Rhinolophus ferrumequinum: one gene and its partners. The protein of the gene in region 1 interacts with the protein of each later gene in a biochemical or structural test. Links are inferred from orthologs where the notes say so. Each region holds a gene or a part of one and is shown in the gene's direction. Other genes may lie near its edges.

Region 1 (11,057 bases):
GGGGTTGGTCACAACGACCAAGCCATAATTAGAAGCGTGGAATTTTCAGCCCCCCTCCCCCGCAACTTCTTTAGAGGGGACGGGGGCTAGAAATTGAGTTAGTAATTGATCATGCCTACGTGAAGATGCTTTCAAGAAAAATCTCACTAGTAGGGGGTCTGGGGAGCTTCCAGTGGGTGAACACGACCATGAAGTGGAAGCATGATGCACTCCAACTCCACAGGGACAGAAGCTCCTGCGCTAGGGACCATCCCAGACCTCACCCCACATATCTCTTCATCTGGCTGTTCATCTGCATCCCTTATCATATCCTTTAATAACCTGGTAAATGTAGGTAAGTGCTTCCCTGAGTTCTGTCAGCTGCTCCAGCGGAACCCAAGGAGGGGGTCGTGGGATCCTCTGATATTGTAGCCAAGTCAGACAGAAGTGGTGGGTAATCGGGGCCCACTACTTGTGATTGGCACCCGAACCGGGGGTCAGTCTCATGGGACTGAGCCCTTATCCCGTGGGGTGGGAGCTGATGCTATCTTCAGGTGGTGTGAGAATTGAGTTAAACTGTAGGACACCCAGCTAGTATCAGAGAATTTCTTGATGGGGGCAAAGCCTACACATCTGGTGTCGAAAGTGTTGTGTGGTAGTAGTGTGAGAATAAAGGAGACACACAGGAAGAAAAGAGCTGGGGTTTCCCTAAAATAACAACGCAGATAATGGAAATTTAGTATGTATTCAATTAAAGAAAGAAGAAAACAGAAATATGAGAAGAGCCCTGGCCCAAAATATAAGATTCCCTGTAACACCTGGCCAGGGAGAGAAGCCTTAGTGAGCTTTATAGGGTTAGTGACTCAGCGGGCATACTTCAGTGATTTTTCAATTTTCAGCTTTTTCTATTGGTGCTTAAAAAAAAAAAAAAGTTTAAGATGAAATTAAAAGGCTTTATTTACTTCTGTGTTGCACTTTCAGAGCCAGTTCAAATATGTTTAGTTCATACTATTAATGCAACCCGATAAAGAGTTGAACCAATTTAAAATTCTTAAAAGTTACATTTAGGGGGTGACAAAAATGTTACATAGTAATACTTTGGTTTTCATTTACAATTGAACTTTTTGGGAAAAATATACCAATTATTTTAATAGATACAATTTGGGATTACAGGTGATTTCTGCTTACCCTTGATGCTTTTCAAAATTTACACAGTGAGGAGCATGTGTTACTTTGATAACCGGAAGGACAAAGGAAGAGAATAAAGAATTGAATAAATGAAAGGAGAGAGGCTGAGGGTGTTTGGTCTGTCTCCAGGCTCTCTGGCAAACACAGGAGGGGGTTTGGATTAAGACTCATTAAATAATTTGCTCCACTTCCCTCATGTCTCTCAGAGGCCCTCCTAACTCAGGAGTCAGGCTTCTATATTCTTGCTTTTCCCCCCTTCCTTCTGTCTATGTCCCCAGTACTAAGTCCCTTTCTTCTTTGGAGGAGGGGGATACAATAAAGACAATTATCACCTATGTTCAGAAAATTGTTTAAAAAGGTTTGGTTGTGCCAGGTGCCACAGGGTCCTCACCCCTGAGCTTACAAATCCTTCTAACTTTCTCCCTACCCCTTTTCCTGGATTTTAGAAAACTAAAAAAAATATTTTGCTGATCAAGAAAGTAATACCTGTTTATTGACCACTCCCATGTTATACTTGAAATGCTCTGGAGGGTGGGGGAGACAATCAATTAACGTAGCTGAATGGACGAGTTAACAAGAGGACAACCTTCAAGACAGAGGATGAGGAGGGAGTTTTAGGCAGGCGGCAGCCTAGCACAGCGCTGAGCACTGCTTTAGGATCAAGTGAGATGGTTGGCTTGATGGGAACCAAGGTCCATGTGGGGCAAGTACGGATAACTCTGGAAAAGAAGTGCCTTTCACAAAGTCACTTTTCATGGGCCATAAGGGATCGTTGCATGTTTAGTTACACACGCTTCATTCAGTTAACAAATATGTGAGCACCTGATATGTGAGGCACAATTTTAGCAACCAACGAGACAGACAAGATCCCTGCTCTCATGGAACTTGCATTCTAGTGGGGGTGGGGACTGACAGCAGAGAAAAGATAATTTCAGGTTTTGAGACATGTTCTGCAGACAATCAAATAGGGTCCTGTCCTAAGGAGTATCCACGGAACGCCCTTAGAGTAGCCAGGGAAGGCCTGAAGAAGTGACACCTGATATGCGACAGGAATAATGGGCTAGAACAGCAAATCACAAAATCAGGAGACTCACAGATCATGGTGTGTTAAAGGAAAAGAAGGCTAGAGCCTAGTGAGCACAGGCAAGGCCAGGGGAGACGAGAATTCTTTTATGATAATATTCTGCTTATGGGTATTGAAGATAATAGCAACGTCTTCTTGGCTCCTTTCTCTCCCTTGTCTGTTATTTAGAAGTGTGTGAAAAGTCAGGAAAATGGCTATGATGTTTGCCCCATCGTCACTAAGCAGAGGGACACTCAGCCTTGCGGATGTCATAGTCACCTCCATTCTTCCTCAGCGCTAATGAGGCCAAGGTTTAACCCCTCTCCAGGTCAGTCAGCTTTACGCAGGAGGAGAGAGCACCAGGTCTCAGCCTGACTGCTTCTCCTCTGGCAGTCTTCTCATATACGAGCTGTGGGTTGGGAGGCGGGGTGTGTGTGTGTGTGTGTGGGAGACCTGGGTGGGGAAACTGCAGCTGAGCTCGACCATTCACCAATTCACTTGCTTACCAGGTACTGGTGAGTACCTCCTGGCACAAGCACCTCACAGAGAGGCTCCTGGTTTTGTTTAGACCACCCAACAGTGCGGTGACATTCTCCCATTTCACAGATCCAAAATGTTAAGTAAATTATTCAGGATCTTACAGCAGGAAGTGACAGAGTAAAACGGAAACGAGTTATTCTCTTTAATTTCAGAATTTGTTTATTAGACATGAATATTCCTGACATTCAAAAGTTATAGAGTAACAACAAAACCCATTACTTCATAAATAGCTCAAGAAATACAACTCAAAGCCTCCTTTGTACTTCTCATTCTTAAACGATGTGGACTCCAATTCTTCCCACTTGAGAAACACTAAATGGCATCACCATCCATTTCATAATACAAACCAGAAATCCAAATAGGTACCAGTGACATTGACACTTCTTTCGATCAGTCACCAAGTTCAATTAACTTTGATATCTATCTCTGTTTCCACTATTCTTTCTACCCTTCTCCTTTCTACAAGTATGATCCCTTATTTGGTTACAATGGCCTCCTAACTGGTCTCCCTGCATCCCTGCATCTACAGGCATCCTTCTTAAAACCTTTCAATGGCTGCTCTTTGCTCTTAAGATATAGACAAAATAGGATACAAGGTCTCATATGGGCTTTCCCCTACTCAATAATCTGGCTTTATCTCAATCTCTTGTTCTGTATTTTGGAGGCCCTGGCCTTCTTCCAGTTCGTCCTTAGAATCCCCAAGCTCCCTTTTACCACAGGGCCTTTGCATATGCTGTTCCTCCCTTCTCTACCTGAATAACACTCTTCTATTTCTCAGCTAAGTTTTCCCTGAGCCCCCTAACTAGGTCAGTCCTTAGCATCTGTCACTTTTACAACTTAACATTTGTTTGTGAGATTAACTGATTAGACGATCTTCCTTAATGGGCCAAGGACCACGAACTACTTGCTTGGTGCAACATACATGCTAAATAGCCAATTTATATATAACATATAACACACCAGGCAGTGTTCCTAGCACTGAACATGTATTAACTCAGGACCTCCCAAAAACCCTGTATGAGGAAGGTATAATTAGCCCCATTTTACGTAGTAAGCAATTTAAGTCACATAAGCTAAGAAGTGGCAGAGCTGGAATATGAACTCAGGAAGTCAGTTTCTGGAGTCTGTGTGCTACATTCACACTTCGGTGACTCACTAGCATCTGCTGAAATGAAGAGTGTTGAGTGATTTGATAGAGACTAGACAGCACCATCAGTAACCTTAGTTGAACTAAAAAATCATTTCACTTGGGTTTTGGTAAGGATCTTATATTTGACTGGAACTTTGCTGCAAAGCATTTATCTTCCCAGCATTTTAGTCCAGCTGCTTTAAAAATCCACTTGCGGGCCAGCCCGGTGGCTCAGGTGGTTGGAGCGCTGTGCTCCTAACACCCAGGCAGAGGTCGCCAGTTCGATTCCCACAAGGGCCAGTGAGCTGCACCCTCTACAGCTAAGATTGTGACCAGCAGCTCGCCCTGGAACTAGGCTGCCGTGAGCAGCCGGAGCGTGGCATAAGCTGCCAAGTGGCCAGCAGCCATCGTGTGCAGCCATGAGCAGCTGGTGGCCTGCGTGAGTGGCCGGCAGCCAGCGTGAGTGGCCAGCAGACAGCTTGGGCTGCTGTGTGCTGCCATGAGCGGCTGGTGGCCAGCATGAGTGGCCGGCAGCCATCATGAGCGGCCGGCAGCCGGCGAGAGCTGCCATGAGCTGCTGTGAGCGGCCGGCCGACCAACGACTGGCAATCGACTGCCTCAGTGGGGGGGGGGGGGGGGGAGCGCAAGACTCATAATACCAGCATGGGCCAGGGACTGTGTCCTACACAACTAGACTGAGAAACAACGGCTTGAACCAGAGCGGGGGGGGGGGGGGGGGGGGGGGGGGAAGCGGAAGAAGGGTAAAAAAAACAATCCACTTGCCTTTACTGGTATTATGACTGATGTTGCGCAGAGGAGAAGGCTCAGCAAACTGCTAGAGGGCAGAAGGCTCGGAGTAAGACAAAATTGTGGATCATTTGGAGTATGGGTAATCCACATAAGGACAATTCAAAGATTTTCATGGATGTCATCTCACTTAACCTTCATTGATTCCTAATGAAGTTACACACACAGGGCAGTTCTTCCTCAGTTACTAGATGAAGCAAAGCCTGAGGTTAGGACTGCTAAGCCATAGGAAATCAACTAGTCACAGGATGGTGAGCCTCGCGTTCCCACACGTCAGCTTCAGAATTTCAAAGGTATCTCTAGCAGAGAAATAGCTTTTCCTCTTTTAAGGATTAAAGATAAATGGCCAAACTTGCCTAATTCTTGGGTGGAACCTCTCAGTAAGAACAGTTCCTCCTAGGTTTTCCCAGAATGGCTAGAGTAGGGCAATTACTCCACAAGCTCAAGCTGCATGATGAAGAGGTCTATAAGCTAGTATCTACATCCAATTAACCATGTATCATATGTAACAATTCAGGAAATTCTTCACGTGGAGTCCATGTACCAATGTCAGGGGAAGTCAAGAACTGTACTGTATGCACATTTTCTTTATGAGCATTTTGCTAAGGAAAGGCTTTCATTAGTTTCTTCCAGGGCTTAGAACTTAAAAAGGCTAAGAACCACGATCCTTTAAGCCTGTACAAGCATTCTTTCTGGTTCACGGTTGTGCCTTTAAAGGCACCTTTGCAGAATGAGACATTTTCATTCCTTCAAGTACCTGGTAGCTACAATGGGGGTCTATGAGGAAATCAAATGCCCACGCCACGTGAATTAGACCTTACAGCAGCACAGACCTCAAACCCCATAAATAGATCTGAGGGAAGTGATTAGCATTCACCTCCTTGGAGGGGGAAGCTGGGTGTAAAGCCAAGGGCACTCAGTGCGCTTGAGTCCAGTCCCCAGCAGGCCACTAACCAGCTGTGCAACCGTGCGCAAGTCGCGTACCCTCTCTGGGCTTCAGTTTCCACATCTGCAAATTGGAAATTAAACCGCATGGTCTTCAAGGTCCTAACCAGCCACAAGCCTGGTACCAATGAGGCTTAGCCATTAAAGCAGTTTCCTGTGGGAGCGGTGCAGGGCTTTAACGGTCTCCCCTCCCCCGCTCAAGCCCGCGAAACTGTTCAACACGCCCCTCCGAGTGACTGCGCTTTCCCAACCGCAGCCCGAACACAGCTCCGCCCCCTCCCGGGGGCGTCCCATCGTGCCCCGCGCTGGGCTCCTACAGCGGCGGGGCGCCTGCCGCCTTTCCGCGGCCCCGACCCCGAACTACTCTCCCCAATTCTCCCCGGTGCCCTATCCTATCAACGCCTAGTATCCCAACCAATCACGCAAGCCCGGAGTCTCGCCTTCGGTCCACTCTCCTCCCAACGTTCAGCCGGTCTGAGCGCAAGGACCTTACCAGGCCAATCCAATCAGCAGCCGGCTCTGGCCTGCCCCACCCCGATTTCACTCCCCTCGGCCAATCCATGTGCCCCATTCCGGAGCCCGCCCAGCCAACCCGGGCCTTGAAACCAGCGGGCGAATGGGTGCAGGGCAGCCCTGCAGCGCTGACCGCCTGGCCAATGGGAGATACCGCGTGGCCACGGCGGCAGCCAATCGATGTGGAGCGCGGTGCCGCCGCGGAGAGGTCCGGCCCGAATATCCCTCCGCCTTCCTCCCTCCCTCTCTCTCCCTCCCTGCGAGCCGCCGTTCACTTACCGCCTCCCTTCCTTCTTTCTCCCTCCGCCACCAGAGCACCAGCCGCGCTCTGAGCTGCCCCCGGGGTCCCTCCCCCGCCGCCAGAGGAGCAGCTGCCGCCGCCGCCAGCAGAAAATTGGGAGGGAGGAAGGAAGGAAAGGAGGAAGGAAGGGAAGCCGGAGCGACTACCAAGAGGGAGCCGGTGAATGGGCTGGTGGTGACCCCCGCCCCCCACCCCACCCTCCCTTCCCACCCGACCCCCAACCCCCATCCCCAGTTAGAGCCGCCGCCCGAGAGGCCGGGCCGACGTCTTAGGAGGAGTCGCCGCCGCCACCTCCGCCATGGAGCTGATCACCATCCTCGAGAAGACCGTGTCTCCCGGTAGGACGCGGGGGCCGGGGGTCGGGCTGAGGTGATTGGGTGGGGGGGAAGGGAAGCCCTGGTTCCTCTGACCCTGTCCCCTTTCCCACTTCTCCCCAGATCGGCTGGAACTGGAAGCGGCGCAGAAGTTCCTGGAACGTGCGGCCGTGGAGAACCTGGTGCGTGCCATCCCGCCGTCCCCCATCCCGCGGTCTCCCCATCCCCTGCGTGCGGGCCTTCCCGCCCTCCCGGAGGCCCAGGCCTCGGGAACCCACCCCGCCCCATCCCGTCCCCCTCCCCCCCACCCGGTCCAACCTAACCCCGCCATCGGGAAGCCGGTGGGTGTGTCCCGCCCCGAGCCCCTGCAGCTGGCCAATGGCGCGGCGCGCCGGGGTGACTGCTGTCCAATCGCCGCGCGGCCTGTGGGCGGCGGTGCAGCGGGAGGGAGAAAAAGGGAGGGAAGGGAAGTTAGGTTGCGCCGCGCTGCGTGTTCAGCAAGGGTGGGGGTGGGGGAGCCGGGCCTAGGGGCCATGTGGAAGCTCCGAGCCCAGCTGCCCTCCCTGTTCTGACTGGGGCCAGCTTCTCCTTCCTGTCCCGTGGCCCCTGTGATTTTTCTCCACCTACTTCTCAGAGTTCTACCCTTTCCTATCTCCCTTGGTCTCTGCTCATCGCCAGGCCTGGCACCCGAATGCCTCTTGACCCATTCCGACAATATTTCTCCTTTTCCTTCTTTTCCCGGGGTATTTTTTTTCTTTCTTTTACTTGGATGAGTAAAGACTTAATCTGTACCCACACAACACGCTGAGCTCATCCTTGAGATCGGAACTGTTTCCAGATGAAATCACAGAGAAAAGTTCCTCGTTTTAAATATTTTCAATTTAAGGGGTACAGAAAAAATGAAGCTAAGTCCACTAGAGACCGGACTTCTGCATAAAAATGTGGGATGGATTGGTTGAAATAACCTGTGTGCCAACAGTTTCTCTTTGGTGTTCCTCTCCTGTTGGGAGGATGGGGAGCAGAGGGAAGGGTGGATGTTTCTTGACATCTTTAAAGCTAATAGGTAGTAAGTCTAAATAACACTGTAACCAGATGTGTTCTTTTGTGTTACCTAGGCAAATAAGCAAAAAAAAAAAGGGACAGCATATTTTATACAAACTGTCTTTGATTTTTTCCCCCCTTTATGTGCTAGGTTTTACTAACCTTTTTTTCTTTAACTTTCCATAGAAAGGATTTTTTCGACTGAAAACATTTCCATTTAGGGTATATTCCTGTTTCTGCTTTTGCTAACTTGCAAGAAGCCTTTTACCTTATTCCTAACATTACTTAGTGGTACATAATTAATAAAACTTTTAAGATTTACCTTCTGTGATTGCAGAACTTGTTAATGGTAAGGAACTATCTGCTTTTGGTTTTCCTGATAACTTCAGGCAAAGCTTTTAGACAGCTTTTTGCAAGGTAGAGGAGTGTGTTACATTTTTTAATAATGGGAGTAGTTTTGGGGATCTGCATTACAAAAGATTATGCTGTTTAGAAATCCACTATTTTTAGTGGACAACTCAAGTAGAAAATGTATAGGAGACTTGAGTGTTAACTGGTGGCTCTTAAATATAAAACCATTTTCCTTGACATTTTTATCTTTTCAGTTTTCCCGTTTCTAAATGTTTGCCAGTTTTTTTCTTATGAATCTGCTTTATTCATTGTTCGCCTCTTGCTGAACACTCAACTGAAATACAGAGGACTGGCCTCCTAAGTCTATATTTTAGATTTATAAGTATTTCCCTCTCATACAAGAGTACCTGCTTTCATGAGATCAAAAGCCACCCTGAGTATCATTCCATTCGGACTTAAGTTTTTTTAATTTAGAAAAATTTTTCTACCCAATGGTAACGTAATTCATTCAACAAATATTTGTCGAGTACTGTTCTAGGGACATAGAAAAACCCTCTGACTACCAGATTGTCAAACTTGCTTTATTTCTAGGGGTGTTAATGTGAAGAATAGGGCACTAAGAATGATGATGGTAGGAAAATCTGTAATTACTTGTTAAATGCTGAGGCTCCTTGAGTAGATGGATGACTTCTTCAATGTATTAAGTAACATTTTTATAGGAGTCGTAAAGTTATTTTTGAGTTTTCTGAGTCGTTATGATACATTCTAAAAAATTTAGGTTTTCTCAGTGTTTTTGGTGTTCCATAAGCTATTCTCAGTTGGTGAAATTCTCAAGAGATATTTCCATTCATGGATGCTGCTTCTTTTAACAGCCCACTTTCCTTGTGGAACTGTCCAGAGTGCTAGCAAATCCAGGAAACAGTCAGGTTGCCAGAGTTGCAGCTGGTCTACAAATCAAGAACTCTTTGACATCTAAAGATCCAGATATCAAGGCACAATATCAGCAGAGATGGCTTGCTATTGATGCTAACGCTCGACGGGAAGTCAAGAATTACGTAAGTAACTTTGCTCTCTTTGGTCATATAGCCTAAGGAACAAGAAAAATCTTTTGTCAGCTTTTTTGTCGTTTGCACGGCATAGAGTTATAATACAGATTGCTGGGCTCAAACCTTCACTTGATAAAAATTGTATTTGATTTAAATCTTTCTCAGTTCAGCTTGTCTGTTCCCATTAATGGATCAGAATTGTTTTCAGATAACCGAGGTAGACTGTAGCAGTTTGGGAAACTTAATTAGATGCCAGATTTTGTAGAATGTCTGGAGAATTAGAATAGTATACAAATTGACAGTTCCCAGAGTTGGGTTATAAGAATCACTTAAGGAATTTGTTAATACGCATTTTCCAGTTCCCTCCAGAAATTCTGATTTGGAGTTTGAGGCTCAGGGATATTTTAAAAACTGTCTTCCCAAGCGATTCTCCCACAGTCAGCCAGCACCCCCAACTCTTGTTGAGCTTTTGCCGTAGATGATTCTCGTTGTTTGGTGGTTTAGGCATGGTCCTGTGTGTGGTCAGAAGGGGAATTAAATGATCTCTTGGGCTTTTCAAGCCTTAAGAGTTTGTGAAACAAGATTGGCGTTCATGGTGCTTTTATCTACTTAGCAAATTATGAAAAACTTTCTTTAGAAACATCTGGCTTTTGATCAAGGCATTTAGAGTGGGCTGGTGAATTTTGTGGAAGATTGAATGTCCCTTGTTGATCTGCATCATGGAGTTTCTGTGACTTTTTTTTTTTTGTTGAATTAGAAATCCATAATTGTAACTGCAGCAAAATACTCAAAATACATGGACTGATGTGCTTTGCTTTTTTTTTTTTTTAAATGAGATTTTTTTAATGGTCTGTCTTACATGGATATAAGGCACAAAGGGGGAGTAAGTCGAGCATCGGTGCAGTCATCATTGGTCCTTGGTATTTGAGGGGAAACCAGTGGGGGATTCCATGTATACTTGTACAGATAATGGTTATGCACATATTTGCTATTTCCTGATTCTGGTTGTGAACATTAGGTAAATGAGTGCCCCTTTAGGCAGTAATTTTTCTTTCTAGTTATGTACCTCCTCCTCTCTCCAGTTTTGCATGGAGGTATCCATGATGGGGGGAACGAGGTTATGCAGGCAACTTATTTTCAATCTTCTTTGGAATACATAGAGCTATTTCTGTCTATATTCTGTTTGCCTATGTAGTAACATTGTAATCCCCTCTTCAGTAGTGTGATATAAAGGAAGTTTTTTCCATCAATCACTGCAAATCCTGCTGGTTATACTGTAGTGCCCAAAATGAGATGGCGTGATTAGAATTGTAATTTGACTTTTTTTTTTGGGGCACATCACTCTTAACATCAAAATTTTTCTAAAATTTGAATAATTTGTATAGGCATTGTTGAGCCCTTGTGCATGAAGAAAAAATTAGCAGTTATTTGGGCCTTTTTCCCATTTGTAGCACACCTAGTAATTAATACTTTCTCAGTGCTAGTGGTTTTCTTTTTTGAAGTCTGAGTTGGATTGAGAGCTAGTTTCTTATTTATTTCAGGTCATTGAGTATTATTATTAGGATCAGCCCTAATTTTAAAAAAAATAACTCTCAGTACTTGGCAATTGTACATTTGTAGCCCCTAAATCACCTCAAGTAATATTAATTAAGGGTCTTCCAGAAGCAATTTATAGGAGGAAAGATGAAAGTAGATGGGATTCAGTGCTCGCCACATACGTCCTAGGAGATGTGCAGCGTGGTATAAAGGCCTCTGGGACCGTAATTCTTAGACGCGGGTAATAGCTGTGCAGCCCGTCATTTTGGACAATTCATCCTGACCCTCCCCCCGCCTTAGTCTT
Region 2 (10,541 bases), on another chromosome or scaffold:
ACTTTATATCCCCTTGCCATGATGGGGGCTACTTGGTCCTTGCCGTCCCAGGTGATCTGAAGCCAGCTATTTGAGTCTGGTCTTTCGAATGGCTATGACATCAAACAGTTGGCAAATGTCCATTCTCACTATATAATAAGATAGACTGGAATCTAAACATTTTAGTCAGTGTGGAGGCCATCAGATAGAGAGGTTTCTAAAGTATGGAGTTCTCCATTGAACTGGAAAAAACATCTTTTAGAAGAAAAAACTGTTTTGAGTGGTACGTACTGTGTTTCCCCGAAAATAAGACCGGATCTTATATTAATTTTTGCTTCAAAAGATGCATTAGAGCTTATGTTCAGGGTATGTCATCCTGAAAAATTATGCTAGGGCTTATTTTTCGGTTAGGTCTTATTTTCGGGGAAACACGGTAGGTAGGTTCCTAAATTGGCAGAGTGATGGCAAGAATGTGGGCTTTGGAATAAGGAGAAATCATTTCAAATATTTAATGTGCTATTATTTTTTAAATGATTTTTTTCAATTTTTTTTTTTTATCTCCTCAGTGCCCTCAAATGTGGAGCTTCCTTGTTAGTAAAATGAGGATAAAAATTCCTTTCAGAATTGTTAGGATTACATGAGAATTTCTGTATAACATTATCAGAGGGATTTGTTCATGATGCTCATAAATGCTTTATTATGAATAAATAAATGAATTCGAGAAATATTAATGTGTTATGCATTACTAGAAAACAAATACATGCAAACTACATGCAAGCTAGAAAAATGTTATGTAAAGCAGTTTAGCTGTATTCATCATTGAATTATTTATTACAATAAAATGGAAACAGTTGGCAGTGGTAATAACTGGATCTTAGGGAAATGAGCTATATAGTACATACAGTGAGACTGCTATGTCTGAACACTGCTCTATGTATTCAGGATAAGAAAAATTCCTCATCTTCTTGGGGTTTAAGAAAAAGACAGTTTGGGGAATATAATCAATAATGTTGTAAAGATTTTGTAGGGTATTTGATGGACAACTTGTCTTACTAGGGAGACCGTTTCATGGATGGTGTAGGTGTCTGACCACTGCAGTGTACACCTGAAGCTGAAGCTGAATAATAATGAATGTCAACTATAATTTTATATATATATATATATATATACACACACACACATATATATATATATATATATATATATATACAAGATGTGGAGTACAGCATAAGGAATAGAGTCAGTGAAACTGTAACAGCTATATATGATGTCAGAGGGATAGTAGATTGGGGGAGGGAGCTATCACTTTGTGAGGGGTATAAATATCTAACTATTACATTGTTTTGTACACCTGAAACTAAAAAAAAAAAAAAAAAAAAAAAAAAAAAAAAAAAAAAAACCCAAAAAGCAAAACAAAAAAAACTAGTAAGGGATAAAGGAGTTTCTGTTAAAACACACTCAATGAAACAACCCAAAACAAAAGAGCAGTTCCTAGAGCTATTTCAGTTTTGTCTAGGCCTAAAGACTGATGGGAATAGAAGTTAATAATAAAAAGGAAAGGATGACTAGGAAGATAGTTCATGATACAAAATTTGCAAGTAGTACGGGACATGATCAAACAGTATGGTGAATGTTTAAATTAAAAAAAATATTACAGTAAAAGACATTAATAACCCTCAAAATACTCATGAGGGCTTTACACACACTTATCCCGTCATTCTTGCCACTTTCTGAAGCAGTTCTGGAAGTCATCTTTCGTGAGTGTCTTTAGTTGTGCAGTCCTGGCTGCCTCGATGTCCTGAATCGATTCAAAACATTTACCTTTCATGGTCATTTTGACTTTGGGGAGGAGCCAGAAGTCACATGGTGCCAGATCCAGTGAATAAGGTGGATGAAGACACACCATAATGGTTTTTGTTTTTTTTTTTAGTGGGGGGAATATTGCAGAACTGTGTTTTTCTAGGACCCATCAGCTACATGTCAAGTCGTCGTTTTTCAATCTAGTTGTGGAGGGTGCAGCTCACTGGCCCATGTGGGAATCAAACTGGCAACCTTGTTAAGAGCTTGCACTCTAACCAACTGAGCCACCTGGCCACCCGCATAAAGTTTTTATTTGACAGAAGTTATCGTACCAGAAGTGATGTGTGACACAGAACATTTCTCTCCATTGTGATCACAAAATACGGTGAATGCTGCTGCCAAATGGCATCCAATGGAAAGGCAGTGATCTTCAATATGGAAAAGTGGCATGTTGAACCCTAGTAACAGTCTGTGACAAGCTTCAACTTGTTCAATGCAGCCAGTTGGGTGTGAGCTATGGTTGAGAGAAGGTGTGTTTTAAAGTATGCTGTAAATCATCCCCCATCATGACAATGCTCCGTGTCACACATTGCTTCTGGTATATGGCAATTTCTATCAAATAAAAGCATTATGATGTGTCCTCATCCACCTTATTCATCGGATCTGGCACTGTGCGACTTCGGGCTCTTCCCCAAAGTCAAAATGGTTCAGGACATCCAGGCAGCCATGACAGCACAACTAAATGCACTCAGAAAAGAGGACTTCCAGGACTGCTTCAGAAACTGGCAAGAATGAAGGGATAAGTGTGTTCGAAGTGAGGGGGAATTAATGGCAATGTGTCTTTTACTGTAACTTTTTTTTTATTTAAACATTCACTGTATTGTTTGATCACGCTTCGTAGCTTCCAATTCTGTGAACTACAGAATCTCATAGGGTTTTAATAGATTAAATTTCATCGTTTAAAGAAACTATTTAATTATAAATACTAAATAATTATTCCCTTCCTCAAAAAAACTGTTACCTCCTAATATGGTTGAAGGATTTCAAGAATCCCTATTATTGTTCCATGCTATTGGATATTTTTTTCCAATTTACATGTAATATCTCTTAGAGAAATATTCAATAATTATTTGTATGTTTGAATATGGGCGAATTCTAAGTTTTCAAATCAGAATAACTTATTATAACTCGTTCTACTACTACTACTAATTCCTAACTGAAGAAGGATTTCTGACCAGAGATGTGTGAGGAACTCTAAGTTTGGTGATTTGTAACTTCAAACTGAATTTGAACAGAGGAACAATGTTTTTTTAGAATCCCAAACTTTGCACAGAAGTTAAGGCATCCCATAGTGAGGCTGAGTACTATTTCAGGGTTCAGTTAGGCAGTGGCAAATTTTGAATGCAAATTTCTTCTTGCCTCTTATTCCTTCTCTGTTGTCAAGACTGGTAAAGTTTGCAATAACTCAAGTCATACGAATGTGGGACTAATGTATTATTGTTCCCTCAAATATTGTTTTATTTCAAAGAAATAACTGAAAGGTGGGGTAAACAATTGAGATCAAGACTAACAGGGGATGTGGATTTCATCACATTTCCAAAAATCCCACCAATTTTCTATTCTGAAATTTTGTCTTGTTTGGCCTAGCTCTTTTGCATGTCCCTTTCTTTCAAACCTTGGCTATGAAGGCTGTCCCACACATTAATTTATAGTCCCCAAAAGGGATGATTTTGAGTTGCAGCCAGTATACTCTGCTATGCTGGAAATTCTGAGTCTGGTAGGGTGAAAGGGAAAAGGATGTGGCTATAGTTCAATTTCCTATATATGTAGCCCAGTTAAAGATTCAGGTAACATGTCTTCCCTGTGAGTTAACTTATTTGGAATTATTTTATTCTACTTGTCAAATACCTAGCTAAGAATTGTGAAAGAGAAACAATTATGTTTAAGAAGGATGAGGTGCTTCAGTTGGAAAAGTCTAGTGGTAAGGTAGTAGAGGCGGGCATGAAGCTAGAACAAGGAAGCAGAAGAGGAAGTAGATGAATTTTGTCTATCATATTTGGCAATTTTTAATAGTCTTGGTGCTTATGGTCACAGATGCCACTGAAAATTATTTGCTCTGTAAACCTATGCCTGATACAGCAAGATTCCTTAGGTGCTGAAAGGTATTACAAATTCCGAGGTACTGTAAGTTTGGTTTTATAATTTGACTTGTATGATTTATGCAGTGATTTAAAATTCCACAATGCTACACACCTAGTAAGTGATAGACTTGAAATTATTTATTTGGGACTCCAAAGCTATTTATAAGCTTTGAAGTCAATTGTCTCCAATGGAATATAAAGTCTGTTTTTTTGTTTTGTTTTGTTTTTCACAGTAGTTGATTTTTCTCCCTGATTATTTGGTTGTCTCAAATCTTAACAGAGAAGTTGGGTTATAGTCCTGCCTAGCTCTGTCAAACAAATGTGCTTTTTGAATTCTCTGGACTCCTGTCTGGTCCGTTGAATGAGGGTTGGACCACGTGGTCACCAAAGCCTTTCTAAGGGTTAGCTCCCACAATTTCTACATTTTGTGGATTCAGGCCTTGAGCCAAGCTCACTTATGCACTTTCCTAAATATAATGCCTTCTATTTGGGGTCAGTACTTTGTACTTTTATTACTGATAATATACTACTTACCTCTAATGTGAATCGATGTGTAGGTAATAATTGTAACCATTTATTGCATTTTTTGTATACCAGATAACAGATACTAAGTGCTCTACATAGATGATCACAACAGCTCTATAAAGTGGATTTTAAAGTTTCCAATTCATAAAGGAGGAATCCAAGGCTCAGGTTTTGCCTTATCCAAGGTCAAGCTAGAGTGGCAGAGCCAGAATTCCAACCCTTGTGTTTGATAACAAAGCCCCTATATTTTTAATGGAACATTAATGAAACTGTATATATTTTCTAATTCTGCTTGAGGATTAAAGATAATGGACACTGTTTTTTCAACCCCTTTTTTTCTTTTTATATTATTAGCTGCTTTGATTTTATTATCGTTTACTTTCTGCCCGCTTTATCAATGGGGAGAAGTAGAGTGGGAAGGAGGTTATTGCTTTGATATTACACGCCATTTTCAAAGTAAGTTGACAGCCAAGAGCAGTAAAAGGAGCAGAACCCCTGGCTTTGTGCCTCTGCGGCAACCCGCTCATCTTCTTCCGCTTCTTGCTTTCCGAGAAGTCGCTTACTTCCGTTGAACTACGTTGCCCAGCGTGCCCCGCGGCCGAGAGCGCGCGGGCTTAACCGGCCCTTCCTTCCTCCTCGCCAATCACCCGATCGCAGGGTGATGATGCAATTGTGTCGGGCGCTGACGAGTGACGGAGTTCTGGCTCGCGACCGCGGCGGCGGCCGTAGCAGCCGCAATAGGCACAACAGCAGCGGCGACTGCAGGGACGACGACGACGACGACGACGACGACGCCGGGGCGGGCGCTGTGCGCAGAGGGGAGGGGTAGGCGGGCGGCGCCGGCGGCTTCAACTGCGGCAGCCACGGCTAGGGCGGCGGAAGAAGAATCGCCATGAGCTGGCGGTCTAGTTAGGCCTAGCAGCGAGAGTGGCCGCTCTGGTTGTCCTCTGCGGGGGATCTCCATAGAGACCGTGACATACACAGAGGAGGTGGTCCGCCGGAGTCCGCCGGAACGGAGCCAGTTACTGGGCCTCTGTCGCCGCCACGGCCTTCCCAGCTGCCAGCGCGCATTTTCTCTTCACTCCGCTCGCAACCTCGCGGTTCCTGGTGTGCCTGTGCCCCACAGAGTGGGCAGCGCGGACGGACTTTTGGGTTGGGGCTGGGCGGGGGGGTGGCTCTAAGGCGGCCGCTTCTGCCTCTCCCGCCCCCTTGCCCGCCCCGGAGCGGGAAGCAGCCGAGGCTCAGCCATGGCCTCGGGAGCCGGAGGAGTAGGAGGGGGCGGTGGCGGCAAGATACGGTCGCGGCGTTGCCATCAGGGGCCAATTAAGCCTTACCAGCAAGGGCGACAAAAGCACCAGGTACGGGACCCCGACTCTTGGGTGGTTTAGCGGGTCGGGAACTCGGCGGGAGGGAACTGGAGGTGAGGGGCCCTGGTGCCCCACGTGGACGGGACCCGAGGGCTTGAGGAAAGGCTCGAGCGAGGCGGTAGGAGCTCAGGCCGCTGGGATGGCGATGGGAAGTGGTCTAAGACAGGCCGATCCTTGCAGCAAACACGTGTGGTTCCGGCCTCCGCTTCCCAACCCTCCCGGCCAGGGGCTTCCCCCAACAGGCACAGGGCGGGAACAGAAATTCTAGGCCCGTAATGCGCGCGTTTCTTTCGTTTTTGGCGGGGATTGGGGGGTTTGAGGGTATTACTCACGTCCTCTCGAGGGAGAAAGGAAAACGATGTGACTGGAGGCCCCTACACTTGTTTTCTTAGTCTCCCGCGTTTCAGTGTGTGTAGAAGGGGGCTGCCGCGAGGCATCTGTCTCCGGGGCACTGGGGATTAACCGGGGTGCTGTTACCCTAAAAGTGGAATAACCTAGTCTCAGCCTAGTGATTAATTCTCCCTCTCCCCCACTCTTGATCCCCCGATCTGAGAGCACTCGCTTAGATTTTTTTTTTCTTAGCCGGGTTATAGTTACGGTAGTAGTGGGGCATTTTGAAAGTCCCTCTCCACCCTTACGTCTTTTCTGCGCTGCGAGACACTTTCCTCGCCCCATATGCCCCTCCCCCACCTTGTATTTTGGAGGTTAGAATTGGCCATTATGCACAGTTGACCAGGACGCCACTTCTGATCTCATGCACAAAATATTTTAATATTATGGGGCGTATTCTAGAAGTTTAGGTACTTTTGACTCTCCAGGAATGTTGGTGCTCTTATAATTTAAGCACCTTGTACATTCAGGGGTGTTTGAAATCATGAAAAGGAATTTATCCTAATAAAAGTTATTTATAAAACTTCTCAGTGATATTAAGGTGCGAAGTAAGTGTGTCTTAAACTTGTTAAAAAACAAAAGTAGAACAAAAGGGTCTGATAACTTGTTGCATTCTCTTAAACGTAGACTTCCTAGATTGCTTTATTCTGGATGATGAATATGTGTTTGCTGGTGTTAAATTGTATCATTAAAAAACAGCATTTTGAAAGTAAAGACTTGGAAATTTTTAATAGTAAAATTGTGGTTTATAATTTTAAGTATTTTCCTACTAATGGTTAGAAGTCTTGGCATTACTATTAAATCCCGCCAGTTTTCTCTCATATATATAAAGAAAGTGCCTGGTTTTCAGATTTCTTTTTGAGGAACAGGGACTTGCAGGCAGATTTAAGATTAGAATTCAGGTCACAAGCCTGGCCATTTAACCTAATCCTTTTGTAGAATGGAAGTTAGACACATGCTTTTTGTTTCTCGTGAAGAATAGCTGTTTGCTTTCTTATATCTCCTTAAAGTTACTACATAAGAAAATGAAATGTTTTAAATACAGATCATTGGATGGTCTGGGCATTTTAGAAAGGAACTAATATATTCTAGGTGGCAAAAGTTATAATCACAGCTTATTTTTAAATGTACTTGGGTAAAAATCTAAATTTGGGGAGGTGATTCCTTAGCAACATAACACCTATGATCCAAATTGTCTTAAGAGTGGATAGGATTTTAGGCTTTGTAGTTCTGTTTTAGAGCATGATAATTGATCATTTCCCTCATCCAAAATACTTTCAGCTTCTTGCTTCAGTCATTTAATTGAAAAATAAAATAGATTTTTAGCTTTTGAATCAAGATAAAAGATGTTTGGGAGTTTCTTGATCAACAGTGGGGTGTTAATATTGGCAGAAAATAGCACATAAAAGTATCCAGGAATATACACAATAATATTATATGTAATATTACCGAGTTTTAAATCTGAAAATAAGGACTTTCTTTACTCCTTACTGGGACTTTTGTGGACTTACAGACTGACTACCTGCTTGCTGCTTACTACCCTAGGCTACCACCTCTGTTTTGCAGCAGCTGCTGAGTCATCATGAATAGCAAGCAATTTCATGACATGGCATGTTTTATATGAATGTTATTTGATTTAAGTGTCCAAGGGTTTCTGGGCAAAACTGGGGTTTTTGGTTGTGTAGTGGAGGGTTGGAATAAGAATGAGAGATCTGGCACTGTTAGCTAATGGAGGTTTGCCATTGCCTGTCAGGCCAACTGGCTTGTGCTGTCACGCATTACCTGTGACTTTTGCATGTGTTCCACTGACTTGTAATTTCCTGTTTTGACTTCTTCTGGATTAGCTCTGCTGAGATATATCTGAAGTTTATGTTTTTTTAACTTCTGATCATTAAAATGGCATCTTGAAGTTGTGGCGACAGAAATCCATTGTCTTACTCAATTAACTGAAGGTTAGGAACTTAAGAATGGTAGAAGCAAAAATGAATAACATCCCCGAATAATGTAAGTTGACTGTTTTCACTTGCCTTCTCTCCTACATGCCCCCCCCACCCCCCGCCCCCAATTCTTAGCCCACATACATTTAGGAAATGCTGTCATTTTTCTAGTTGGGAGTGAACCAGTCACTGAAGAGGATGTGGTTAGTTCATGTCACCTGATCAGTCCCCTTTCCGATTTCCTTTTGTGCAGATTGTCAGGCCCAGAAAGTCAGCTCTGGAGAAGTCAAGCTGCTTTTCTTAGTATCCACCCCAAAAGACTTGAGCCCATGGGCAAACCAGAACCTTGGCTCTGGTAGAACCTCCTGCCAGCCTCCTGGTGCAAGGGAACTACTTATTTTTGCCCTTTTTGGGAGGTGTGCTTCAGAGGTTTTATCTTCTGGTTTGGAGCTAAGGGAATCCATTCATTTTATCTTCCTAGGTTGTAGTTTGTCTTACAAGTCAGTTCCTGCATTAGCCTATTTGAAAAAGGAGGGGAGGAAACCCCATTTCTATTTAGAAACTTAGACCAGGAGTCTGCAAATGTTTTCTGTAAAGGGCCAGATAGTAAATATTTTAGGTTTGTTGCTGAAAGTTCTTTCCTTTGTTTTCACAACCGTTTAAAAAATGTAAAATCATTCTTAGCCTGAGGCCCGTGTAAAAGCCAGCCAAGGGCCGAATTTGGCCCACAGACCATGAGTTGCCTAAATAACACTCCTTTATATGTTAGTGTGGTTTTTTTTTGGTGGTGGTGTTTTGTTGGATTGCTACCTTCTATATAATACTTTGTTCCAAATAAGTATGTCCTACTTCGTATCTGATGACTAAAGAGTGTTCTCAGTTTTGAAAAGGAGGGATATTTAGAGGTTGAATACTGAACTCATTTCAGAAGTCACTAAGTAGTTTTGACTTATTTTATCTTTATTTGCTTTGTCCTAAATATTTAATTCTATCCATGGTAATACCCCGTTTCCCCAAAAATAAGACTTAGCTGGACAATCAGCTTTAATTCATCTTTTGGAGTAGAAATTAATATAAGACCCGATATTATAGGATAGTATAGTACAGTATAGTATAGTATAAGACCCGGTCTTATAATATAGTAAAATAAGACCAGGTCTTGTTAATTTTTGCTCCAAAAGATGCATTAAAGCTGATTGTCCGGCTAGGTCTTATTTCCGGCTAGGTCTTATTTTCGGGGAAACACAGTAGGAATGGAAAGAGTACTCTAATGGAGTCAAGTACTCAGGTTTGAATCGCTGTTCTGCCAGGACTTGTAATAAACCTGTAAATAAATACAAATTATTTAAGTTCTCTATGCTTAATTTACTCATCTGTAGAGTGGAAATTATTGTGAGGGTTAAATGAAATAATAGAAGTAAAGGTCTTAGATTAGGGCCTGGCATATAAAGTAAGGACTCATTTAAAATTATTGTGATTAAATAGATAGAACCTTTTGATTTAAATGTTTTAACTGCCTGTGAATTTTGCTACCTCTTTCTGGAGCTTTTTCCTTTACATACTGATGCTCAATTTTTTGTAGGCTCATATTGGATTAAGGACTTATTTGCTAAGTGATAAGACCAAACCTTAAATTATTATTACTTTCTTAAATACTTACTTTTAACATATTTTCCTTATAGAAACACCAGCCAATTAAGTGTATAGGGAAATAAATCCAAGTATTGAGTTGTTTGAAGAAACGGTGTATTTGGTTTGTGATGAGAGGCCCTTGTGTATTTTATGAATTTACCACATTGTCTAATAAGTGACAAAAGGGCCCAGGTGTTGTTTCCATTTCCTGGAAAGTTCCCTGATGAGGCAGGTATCTGTTAGGTTTAAGTAAAATGAAAACTTTGGTCTGATGTCCCTAATTGAAACCATTTTCATTAGGCACAGTATATTATTGGAAAAACATGATGACCTTGTATTCTCAGAAATGTTTTCTTTGTAGCTACTTAGTTAATGGTCATGGCTGTAGCAGGGTTTGAGAAGGGTTTTCTTTGTTGGGAAGCCCAGTTTAAAGTCTCGCCACCAGGTACAATTTACTGTGTTTACTGTCAGAACAGGACAGGACAGTGTCTTTTCTGTCTGTGCGAGGAGATATTCCAGTGTGTGTGTTAGTTTGCTTGATTTCACTGCTCTTTTCCACAGTATGATTTCAGAAATAAATCCTTACATCCTGTGTCAAGCAGATTGTGGATGAAAAGGGGCAATATCTTATAGGGAACTTTGGGTTAAACTGCTTTGGCCTTTTAGTGGGTCTCCTAAAGCTAGCTTGAAGGTCTTTTAGGGTCTCCTTTTCTTGTCCTTGTTGTTTGATTCCTGTTAATTATCTATTCACCACCTCTGTGATATGGATA
Region 3 (11,363 bases), on another chromosome or scaffold:
CTGCCTCTTTGGAAATTGACTCAAGAACTGGGACAGGCCTGAGCTTTCAAGGAGCTAGGGAAGGCAGTGGCAGAGGATATGAACTTTAAGCTAACAACACAGAACTCAGAACAGACTTCACAGAATGGAGCCAGTCTTTTAGGAGAATGTCATCAGGAAAATGGTACTTAAAAAAACTCAAGAAAAAAACTAGAGGCAGAAAGGGACCCAGGAAAATATTGCAAAAATAAATCTATTCAGAAAGTAAAATGGAATTGGATATTATTGACCTTCAAATTCTGTCCTTGAAGTATATATTATTTGGTACATTTTTTCCGAGTAAGAGCTATATAAGCATTATTTTAATTTGCAGTACTTTGAAATTTTGCATGACATATCACCATGTATCACTGTGATGCCTAGTTATCTTTATTTTAGCTCTGTCCTTATCTTAGGCTGCAACCATCTTCTAAGAGATCAGATCTAGTAGTTCTTAATGTTGCAGGAACCAGTACCATCAACATCAAGTGAGCACTTGTTAGAAATTCAAATCTTCAGATGATATCCCAGACTTACTAAATCAGAAATTTTGGGGATGGAGTCCACCAGTTTGGGTGATTCAGTCTTGCACGCGGTTCTAATGCACTCTAAAGTTGAGAACTACTGCCTCGGGCATTGCAGAACTGCACCTCTTTAGAGCCTGTTTAGGAAAAAACACTCTTCTGTTTTCTGTTTGTTCACAGCACTACTCTCGCTTCTGATCACCAGATGTGTACTGCAGTATCTTCCCCACACCAAACAATTCTGCACCCACCAACTGGCTGTCCTCCAATTTAACTCAGCTTTGATACTACAGGAGAGAGCGTCAGATCCCACAGGTTGAGGGCTCCTCACCCCACTTCAGACATCAATCACAAGTTCAGGTTGTCACCTGTGCTTTTGACTGACCAACTGTAAATTGGAGGTTCAATTCCTTGGGTTCAATTAATTTGCTCAACCAGCTCACAGAACTTGGAAAAAGTTTACTCACTGGATTACGGGTTTATTATGAAAGGATAATAACACAGAAATAGCCAGATAGAAGAGATGCATGGGGCAAGGTAATGGAGAAAGGGGGCATTGAAGTTCCATGTCCTACTCAGGCTCACCACACTCAGCACCTCCACGTGTCCACTAAATGGAAGCTCTCCAAACCTGTCTTTTTTGGGTTTTTATGGAGGCTTCATTATGAAGGCATGATTGATTAAATCGTTGGCCATTGATTCAACCTCCAATCCCTTTCCCTTCCCCAGATGTCAGAGTGGGGGTAGGGCTAAAAGTTCTAACCCTCTAATTACATAGCTACTTCCCCTGGCAACCAGACCCCCTATCCTTAGGGACTTTCCAAAAGTCATCACATTAACATAAACTCAGATGTAGTTGAAAGGGGTTTATTATGAATAACAAAGGACACCCAATTTCATTCTGGAACTATTTCAGAAGGTGAAAAATAAAGATGCCCCTATAACTCAGGAAATTACAAAGGCTTTAGGTGTTTCATGCCAGGAAACGTGGAGGAAGACCAAATATCTATTTCTTTATATAAATCACAGTATCACTGAGGTCCAGCTGTGGTATAGGCCAGGGAGACAACATGAGTGTTTTGTCTGTTCAGGCTGCTATAACGAAATAACATAAAAAAAAAAAAATACCATAAACCGGGTAGCTTATAAACAACAGAAATTTATTTCTCATAGTTCTACAGGCTGGGAAGTCTAAGATCAAAGCTGATTTGGTGCCTGGTAAGCACTCACTTCCTCATAGACTGCCGTTTTTTCACTGTAACTTCATTTGGAAAAAGGATGAGGGAGCTCTCTGGGGCCTCTTTTATAAGGGTACAGATCCCACTCATGAGGGCTCCACCTTCATGACCTAATTACCTCCCAAAGGGCACACCTCCAAACACCATCATATCGGGTGTGAGGTTTCAACATGTGAATTTGGGGTGGGGGGAAGACACAAACATTCAGCCCATAGCAATGGTCAACTAGAAATGGTGGAGGTTTGGCAGCTAGTCAGATCTGGAATCAAACTGGGGCTCCAGCACTTGTTAATTGTGTAAGGTCTTGAGCAAGTTGCTTTTCCTCTTTGAACCTCAGGTTCCTCACATAGAAAATGGAAATAATAACAACTACCTTGAAAGGTTACTATGAAAACTGAAATTTATGTACCTACAAGGTAATCAGTAGTACTGGCTCCGGTGTCAGGCCCAGTTCAAACACCAGCTGTTTACTGTGTGATTTTGGGCAAATTACTAAACCTCTCTGTGCTTCAAATTTCTCATCTGTCAAGTGGGTAATAATATAATTTAATAATATAATTGTTGTGAGGGTTCAATGAGTTAATATATATCAATTGCTTAGAAGATTGCCTATCACATAATTGCTCAATAATTATTATCTGTTTATAATAGTAGGTAAAGTATGAACTGGCCATGGAATTCTAAGTGTAAGGAACGATGTAATTTTTGTAACTTCATCATCTAACACAATTCCTGGTTATCTGCTACATAATAGAAATACAAATAGTAACAAAGACAATGGATGTGCTCCTCCTGACCAAAGTTGTAAATCCAAATATTTTCCTCATAGAAATATTGCCACATATTGTAACTAGGTTCTATGACATTCTTCTAAGTACCTTATAGATTAAGTAAGGTCTAACCTGAAACATCTAGCCACTAATTATGACCAAGTTTTTGTGCACCTATTTCAAAGAACTAACCTGTAAACAAACTTTTGGCATACTACCCATTTGTAAGTCACTATACTCAGTTGATGCTATTAACACAGAATTTAACTGAGGAGGCATAGTGATCTTTCCAGGCTCACTGATTTCAAGGTTCCAAATAGTGTTCTGTTATACTTATCAGTCTCAAAGTTCCCACTACTTCCCCACTCCCCAAGTTCCTCAAATTGTTAGCCGAATGAAATTTTTTTTTTTAAGGAACACTTATTAACATCTAGTTCTGGGGAACTCTCTGTTTGAGTACACTGCTCTAAGTCATATGATCAGTCTCTTTGACTACTTGGCCTCTTAAGTTGCTCCTTCTGTGGTATTTATATTTTAAAAATTAAAAACGAAGAGTATATATTCTTTCATTTTCCAATAGTTTAGGCCCAAGTAAAAAGCAAGTGAAAAAAGCTTTAGGAAATCTATGCATGTTTGCCTGGCGGCAATATAAATAGATATCAACCAATAATCAGTGATGTATACACATGAATTATAAGTTTTTGTCCAATTAATTAGTTAAAACTAAGCTTAAAAAAACTAAGTCGAAGAAAAACCAAGTGGCTCATTTCTCTCCATCAAATTAATATTAACAGCTAGCCTTTTAAATCATCATCTTTTACCATTCAGGGACTTCAGTCAAAATATTCTTTTCCAGGCTCCTCAAGTTGTAAGTCAGAAACGTTTTCTCAATAAAGAGGAATAAATGAAATCCCCCAATACCTGATCAACTATAATTTCCTAAGAAAATTAAGGTTCATTGTAGTACTAAAGGTCCAATGTTTTTCTCTTATAAAAAAGAACCAGTTATAAAAAACACAAATTACATTTTAGTTAGGATTTAGCAACATGTAAAATTGCTTGTTTCAGCAAATAATACCTAGTTTTGCTCAAGAAATCACACAGAATTCTCCAAACAGTAACAGAAACTATATGATTCATAGTTTAAAGAGAGATTCCACAATCTTCGATTTAATGTATCATGAGAATACTCTAAACTGCTTAAATGAAATAATTATCAATTATAATTCTTTTTGAAATTACATTTGATCAACTAAAACCCTGTGTAAAGCTTCACAAATCCTCACAAATCTCTCTTGCAGAACAGAGAAAGTTTCTTTATTCAGAAAGTAACTCTAAGAGAATTTCATGACACATTGAAAGCAATTATCTCCATAATATTTTAGACTTTTCCTATACTGAAGTACTAACAAGGCAGGATATTAAGTTACCTGATATTGAATATCGTCTTTGAAAACAGGTCTCATATATAAGCATACCTCCTTTTATCGCTTTTCACTTTATTTTGCTTCATAGATGTTGCATTCTTCACAAATTGAAGGCAAGACACTCTACCAGAAAAAATGATTACGACTTTGTTTATTGCGATTGGCTTCATTACAGTGGTCTGGAACCAAATCCACAATATCTCCGAGGTATGCCTGTATAGGTTTTATAGTGTTTGGTTATATTTCATAACTATATTTCAACACAAAAAACATTTGTTAAACAGTCTATGTTAAAATAGACTATTGATGGTATCGATGGCTGCATTTTACTACTTTCTTAGTTCAACAAGTTAAATTTATTAAATCTCCTAACTACAGCTAGAGCTACCATATATTGCCAATTAGGTTACCAATGTGCATTTAGAGCTATTACCAACTGCTTTTCCCCTCTGATGAATTATTTATCTCCTATCTGGGAACAACTGGGAGCACAGATACTAAACATGTAAACTGGATGGCAATGGACAGTGATCATTTCAAATGAAACATTTAGGCCAGCAAACAGACTACCTAAGCATTATAATTAAGGAAATTGTTCATTTTAGCAGTGTGTCACGACTACTTTTAAACATGTGGGGGGCTTGCCCTGAAACCTATGTCTGATCTATTCCCTGACTCTTAATCCTGGAATGAACATGATACCAAATTAAGAATTTTTAGAAGGAACCCAATGTAAATTAGAAACAATAAGAACTCAATCCATATTTTTAATGAAGAAGTGTTAGCTTGTTTTTAAACTTATGGAATATGCACCCAAAGTAGCTTGGATTCAGGTCCTGCATTTGTCAAATAGCCACTGAGAGTCGATAACGTTCCAGGTACTACTAGGTGCTGGGTATGTAGAGAATGAAAGAAATATGGTCCGTGACTTCAGAGAGCTTATTGTCTAAAAAGGAAGACAGACAGACATTAAACAAATAAAAACAAGACTGAAATTACAAATTGTGGTTATTTCCTGTTTGTACTGCATCTTTCTCAATGGGTAACTGTGATCACACCCTTCTTTTAGGAGTATTCTGCAGAGAACCTCCAGTTGTTTAATCATCAGAGACAATCAGTTGTAGCTGGGAGACATGAAGACATTTAATGGTAGATAATTGCATAACCTTTATCAAGAGAGCTATCATGGAATTTATTCCAAAAAGTACAAAATATTCATCTATACATGCATTATAGGGTGGAAATTCACCAGTAATTTGTTGTCTTGAATTCTGCTCATGACAAAAATCCATGTTGATGGAAAAACAAATGTATTTCAGATTTTCAACTGAATTTTCTTATCCTAAACACATTTGGAAAAAAATCAGTGCATTAGTGTGCAATGTTATTTCAATTAAATGATTCTTTGGGTTATAAAGATTTATAATGAACTTCATCATTTAAATTTAAAATCGACACTGAATTTACATTTAAGTTAACCTTCAGCATGTATTATTTCCAAGTACAGCTTCTGTTTGCCTAGGCAGATCAAAAAATACAAAATATTGAGGACTTTAAAGGTGTTATTCCCATTTTAAACGTTTTATCTCTGCATATTGTTCTAGTCAAAAATATACCAGTAAGGAAGTGGGAGGGAAGGAGAGGAGTAAAAGTTCCCAAAGGAGTTTGAATCAGGGACTTCTTCCCCTACCTCACCAAATTTAAACACATCCAAAGCTTCTACACACACACACACACACACACACACACACACTTTCTTTCAGACCTCAGTTGCTGCTGACTACTTCATGTTTTTCCTGCACATTTGAGGTGCTATTAAATATACTTGTAAACAATTTCCTTCTCCGTTTTTCTGAAATATCTGAATACGTTCTTTTGTAGCTGGTCTTATTTCTGCCCCTGGCAATAACATTTCTGATAAAGATGTTTATCCTTGGAATTCATTTCCTTTCTCAACAGAGTTACAATACTACTACTTTACTGTGTCAGGTGCCACGGTCCCCGCCTTACAGAATTTAGGACTTTGTGGCCAAGCAGCTTCTTTAACTTTCTATGACGAAACACCTAGGAGGTGATATCTTCACAAGATCCTTAGCGCTTCCCAAGTTCCTACCTGTTGCGGGGACTTGGTCAGAAGGGTTGAATCAGATTTGTCTAATGCGTCCTTTTCCTTTTCCACCCATGGTTCCCTCCCGCTTTCCGCTGAGCCTCCGGAACGCGTCACCCCAGCCAGTCCAGGCCCCAGGGCCCGGCAGGAACTCCCCGCAGTGGAAACAGAGCTAGGTGGGCACAAGGGGGTGTCCCGACCCGGGATGGAACCGAGGCGCAGCTCCCACTTCCTTTAGCAAAGACAGCGGAGCGCGCAAGTAACGCCTGGGGGAGAGGGCGCACTTGAGAAGAAAAGAACTTAGTTTAGGCTTCCATCCACGACCCCAGATGTCTGGGGCGGCCCCTACAACTGGAGTAAACCAAGTCGTTCCCTGCCTTCTCTTTCCCCTTCCCACCTCCCCTCAAATCTAATTCTCTTTCGCTTCCTCCCCCTAGCTCCGGGGGCACGTGGTCCCTCCCGGCCCTGCTCCGTCTCCGCCGATGCCCACCCCTCCCAGCCTTCCGGGTCTCTAACCCCTTCCTCCCCGCGTCGCTTGCTTTCCTTTTCGTTCGCTCTTCCGCCCCCGCTCTCCATCATCCTTTCTGATTGGTCGAGCTTGGTTGGCCAATCGGCGAGCTAGGCTGGCGGCGGTGGGCGTGGCCACGGCACCGGGGCCCTCAGACCGAGGCTGCCTCCCCCTCTTAGCCGGCAGCACATTCCGCCGCTGTTGCCGCCGCCCGGCCCCGCGGTTGTCTTTGGTGGAGCTGCCGTCGCGCTCGGGTTAGGGCGGGGGGTGGGACGGGCGGGGAGAGGAGAAGGCCGCGACAGAGGCAGGTGAGAGGAGTCAGGAAGGAAGCGGCGGCGCGGCGAGCATAGCAGCTCAGGCGGCGGCCCGGTTCCTGGGAGTGTCGGTGCGGCGTGGTGGTTGGGGCGGATCCCGCGGGGCCCGGGCGGGGGAAGGAATCACCGGCCCGGCCATGGCGGACAACGAGAAACTGGACAACCAGCGGCTCAAGAATTTCAAGAACAAAGGCCGCGACTTGGAGGTAAACTCGCGGGCGCTGGAGGGCTGGGGGGCCGTGAACCTCGGGCGGATCTCCGCCGGGACTTGGAGTGTGGGGAGTAGGGGCGGGAGCCGCCGCCGGGCCGCGGGGGAATGGCGCTGGGGGCCGGCCCGTCCGTGACGCCTCTGCTAATGCTCCGGGAAGTTTGTGTCGGGCCTGGTCCGCCTCCGCCGGGGAGCGAGGTTCCGGGGTACGGCCAGCGCGGCCTAGGCCTGCTCTGCGGAGCCGGTCCGGCGCGGGTGCGAGGGGCTGGGCCGCGCGGCGGAGAGGCCGGGCGCGGCGAGTGCGGAGGAAGCGAGTGTCTGCCGCGCTGCCCGGCCTCGCTGCGGCCCCTACCCCGGCCGCGGCGGCGATGCCGGCCCTCGCTCCGGCACCGGCGTCTGGCGCCGCGGGAAGGAGTGCGGTGGGAGGTGGGGAGGGGCGAGCGTGCGGCGACCGAGTGGGGCTCGGAACTTCCTTAGCGAGGCCCGAGGCGTCTCTACTTAAAGGCATTTTTTCTGGTCTTCCCGACTCCCACTTTACCCTGCCTCCCCCCAATATCCAAACTACAGGAGTCAACTTCTCCGTTGAAAAAAACACCCCCGGCGTGAGAGGCCATCCTGGTGATGCTAACAGTGCCTTCCTGCGGCCTGTGTTTTACTGTGGATATAGCTGATTCAAGATGTGGCTCACGGTGTGCCCTCTTCCAGGCAAAGGATGCCCCTTATTTCAGCTTGTTCACAAATCTCTTTACCCCCTTCTGAGAGACCACCAGCTGCATTCTTACATATAAAGTCCAAAGGGTTATACAAAGCTGTCATCCTCTAGTCTACAGTATCCTTTCCCTCCACCTGCTGGTGGTGGTAGTGGGGGATGGGGTGGGCTATGGAATGGCACCATCGCGTTTTGTTTTAAACGGATGGAAAAAACCTTCATTACCTTATATACAGCTGCTCCCGAGGTGCTTAGGCTACATAAGGTGTGTGGGTAAACACACACACCCCCCACAGATTTTTTGATGGAAGATTTCTTCCCTTAAGTTTTAAGAGTAAGTAAATAGGGTTGTTTTTAATCTATTTTGCATCTGAATCAAGAGTTTAGCTTTTAAGAGAAAGTGGTCAAGTCGTATTTTTTATGTTGTCCTTCTGTGCTTTTTTTATACTGAGATCTTCAAATTCCCATCACCTGTTTCTGAACTTTGAGCATTTGCTTGACTGAGATAGTAATATTTTGGGGGCAGCCCACAAAGCCATTGAATCTCTAAGGTAGTTGGTGCTGTCTTAGTGGGTTTCATAGTTTGAGAGACTATTAAATGGCTGGAACTAGGCTGTTAATTCTCAGACTGTTTTAAGGTTAATATGAGGCATTGATCTTGTGATCCCTCTTTTTTAAATGAAAAAAATTTAACATCTTTGTTGAGATAATTCACATGCCTTAGAAATCACCATTTAAATGTACAATTTATGATTTTCTGTAAATTTACCTAGTTGTGTAATGATGTGACAAAAAATTTTTTACTAATATGCATATTTAAAATGAGAAAAAAATCACAAATGACAAAACTTAAAAGCGTAAATACCACAAAGTTACAAAATCCAAAAAGTAGCAACTAGGTGTTTGACAAATCCTTCCAATCCTTTTCCTCCTCCATTTCTAGCTACATTTTGTTTAAATAGCTTCATTAAGATGTAATTTTCATACCATATAATTCACCCACTTAAAGTGGCTTTTGATATTTTCACACAGTCGTGCAGCCATCAGTATAGTCAATCTTAGAACATTTTCATCATCCTGAAAAGAAACCCAAACTCATTAGCAGTCACTCTCCATTTCCTAATCACTCTTTGTTTAGATTTGCCCATTGTGGACATTTCATATAACTGGAGTTATACAATATGTGACCTTTCGTGACTGATTTCTTTTAGGTAGCATCATGTTTTTTAAGGTTCACACACATGTTTTTATGGCTGAATAATCATCCACTGTATGGCTGTCCTACATTTTGTTTATCCATTCCTCAGTTGATAAACATTTGCATTGTTTCTGCCTTTTAGCTATTACGCACAGTGCTGCTAGGAACATTCATATACACATTTTTGCATGTACCTATGTTTTCATTTCTCTTTGGTTGTATACCTAGGAGTGGAATTACTGGGTCACGTGGTAACTTTATGTGTAACCATTTGTGGGATTGCCAAACTGTTTTCTAAAGTGATCCTTATTTTTTAAATTGATGTTCCCCTTTCCTGTGTATCTCTTACTTTAGTCAAAATAAGATTAAGTGCTGACTTTATATTAGAACAATATTATGTGATTTTAAAAACTAAGTATAAATACACATTAGGCAGGTGTTTTTTGTTTTTTGAGAAGTTCATAGAGCCTTCTGAGCATTCTCGGCCCACTTTGATAATCTTTTGTGTACATTAGGAATAGAAATATTTTCACTTTTCCACAGAAGCAAATGACAGGTGACTCTAATGGAAAGTCATACTTTCTCCTGACTTGTGACTCACTCAAAGTCTCACATGCCTGTAATGAGATGGAAACATCTTTTATTATTCTTAGAGAACACTAGAATAGCCTATTTTGTTATTAATTGCATATATATCTATGTCCCTCAAGACACTTATTATACCCATTCTCCCCCCCCACTGCTAAATATGGTTACTATGTTGTACTACAACAAATTCTAAGAAAATACTGTTTTTTTATTTGGTTGTGATGACATCTGTTTGATTTGGAGGTCTTTGGAAAGACGTATGGACTGTTGCTTTCTAATGAATTTTAGCTAATCCATTATTTCCAAAATTGCAACATGTAATCAATGTAAAAAATTAATGTAATGTTTTATACTCTTTACATACTATGTCTTAAAAATCTGGTTCGCATATTTCAATTCAGACTAGCTACATTTCATGTACTTAATAGCTACAGGTGACTATTGGCTACTTACTAGACAGCACAGATACAGAGGATAGCCTATAGAGTGAGCATTTTTTCATTTGATCTAACATTGTTTGATTTGAAATTATGAAGAGTACAAAATCCTAGAATTTTGTTTAATGTGATCTCTAACTTGGTGACCTTGGGAGAATCAGATTTACGCCTTTTTCCTCTTAAAACTAGAGGTACTTGACATCTGCTTCATGAGTGTTGTGTAGATTAATAGGTTAATGTTAGGAAGCTGCCTAGCAATTCTCTGAGTGTTTTATCACCATCCACTTTTCTGCTTGGGGGAGGAAAGAGATTTAATATGATTCAGTGTAACTTTTACTTTTACTCCTATTTGCAATTGGCTGTTTGTTTTTCTTTGTTCATATGTAACTTAAATTGAACTTAACAATTAATGGGGAAAATTTTTTTTTAATGGGGAAAGTTTTTAATGTGATATATCATTGCTCATTGAAGGGCAGTTTGGGCACAGGGAATTAGTGATCCTTCTGAAGTCATAATTTCTAAATGTTAACACTGATTCATAGCTTCCAATCTCATATTAATTCCTATCTTTCATTCTGCCATTCTGGCTATTCCAAAATGTGGTCATGCTAACTTCTTGAAAGACAAAAGCATCAAAGAAGGCATATGTCGATATCCATTTAAAATAATTTACAGGAAGTGTCAGATGATACTTAGTGCTTGGTTTCTTTCATGCAGTGTGGTAGAGGATCAACATTATTAGTCTGAAAATAGTAACCGTAAAGAGGGGACACGCAGTGCAGCACAGGAAAAGGAAGTGACCAAACTTCAAATAAAAAATTTGTCAGAATAAAGCAAATAAAGCTCATCTAGTTTATGTTTTAAAAGTAGAGGGGAAATTTTTTAGTAGACTTTCTAATAAACCTGCATAATTTTTATAAAAGTTCTGAGACTATCCAGGTTTGAATAGAACGTAAGTTATGTTAGAGGAGTAATTAGATCTTATATAAACACATCTTTTAAGAAAAAAAACTTACCCTGAAAATAAAAGAATATTAAAATACTACATAAATGGAAACTTGTTATTGTCCACACAACATAAAATATCAACTCAGCTTGAACTTTAAAAAGAAAAAAAGTTGCTTTGTTGGCAAGAGTTAAATTGATCAGCTGTTAAAAGTGATCAGCTTTTTTGTTGTTTAGAAATGGCTTTGGTGGTTTGTTAAACTGTACAGAGTAAAAAGCATTGTTAAGCTATTAAGTCTTGTTAACTTTTAGAGACTGACCTCTCTCATCACAAATCTTGGAACATATTTACTATACTTAAAATAACTGCTG

The links.
Region 2: the proteins of KPNB1 (region 1) and nuclear pore complex protein Nup153-like form a complex in vitro, tested with the Homo sapiens proteins (4 studies listed by BioGRID and IntAct, with this or other methods). The link is inferred for Rhinolophus ferrumequinum from reciprocal best matches to the Homo sapiens genes KPNB1 and NUP153.
Region 3: the proteins of KPNB1 (region 1) and KPNA4 form a complex in vitro, tested with the Homo sapiens proteins (2 studies listed by BioGRID and IntAct, with this or other methods). The link is inferred for Rhinolophus ferrumequinum from reciprocal best matches to the Homo sapiens genes KPNB1 and KPNA4.

The regions. Positions count from the first base shown.
Region 1 is NC_046304.1:35,251,267-35,262,323, reverse strand, and holds the start of KPNB1 (importin subunit beta-1), read left to right. Parts: upstream 1-6,421; 5' UTR 6,422-6,763; coding exon 6,764-6,803; intron 6,804-6,902; coding exon 6,903-6,961; intron 6,962-9,043; coding exon 9,044-9,226; intron 9,227-11,057.
Region 2 is NC_046292.1:77,276,018-77,286,558, forward strand, and holds the start of nuclear pore complex protein Nup153-like, read left to right. Parts: upstream 1-5,174; 5' UTR 5,175-5,692; coding exon 5,693-5,803; intron 5,804-10,541. UniProt on the Homo sapiens protein: Component of the nuclear pore complex (NPC), a complex required for the trafficking across the nuclear envelope. Functions as a scaffolding element in the nuclear phase of the NPC essential for normal nucleocytoplasmic transport of proteins and mRNAs.
Region 3 is NC_046285.1:79,282,172-79,293,534, forward strand, and holds the start of KPNA4 (importin subunit alpha-3), read left to right. Parts: upstream 1-6,828; 5' UTR 6,829-7,043; coding exon 7,044-7,112; intron 7,113-11,363. UniProt on the Homo sapiens protein: Functions in nuclear protein import as an adapter protein for nuclear receptor KPNB1. Binds specifically and directly to substrates containing either a simple or bipartite NLS motif.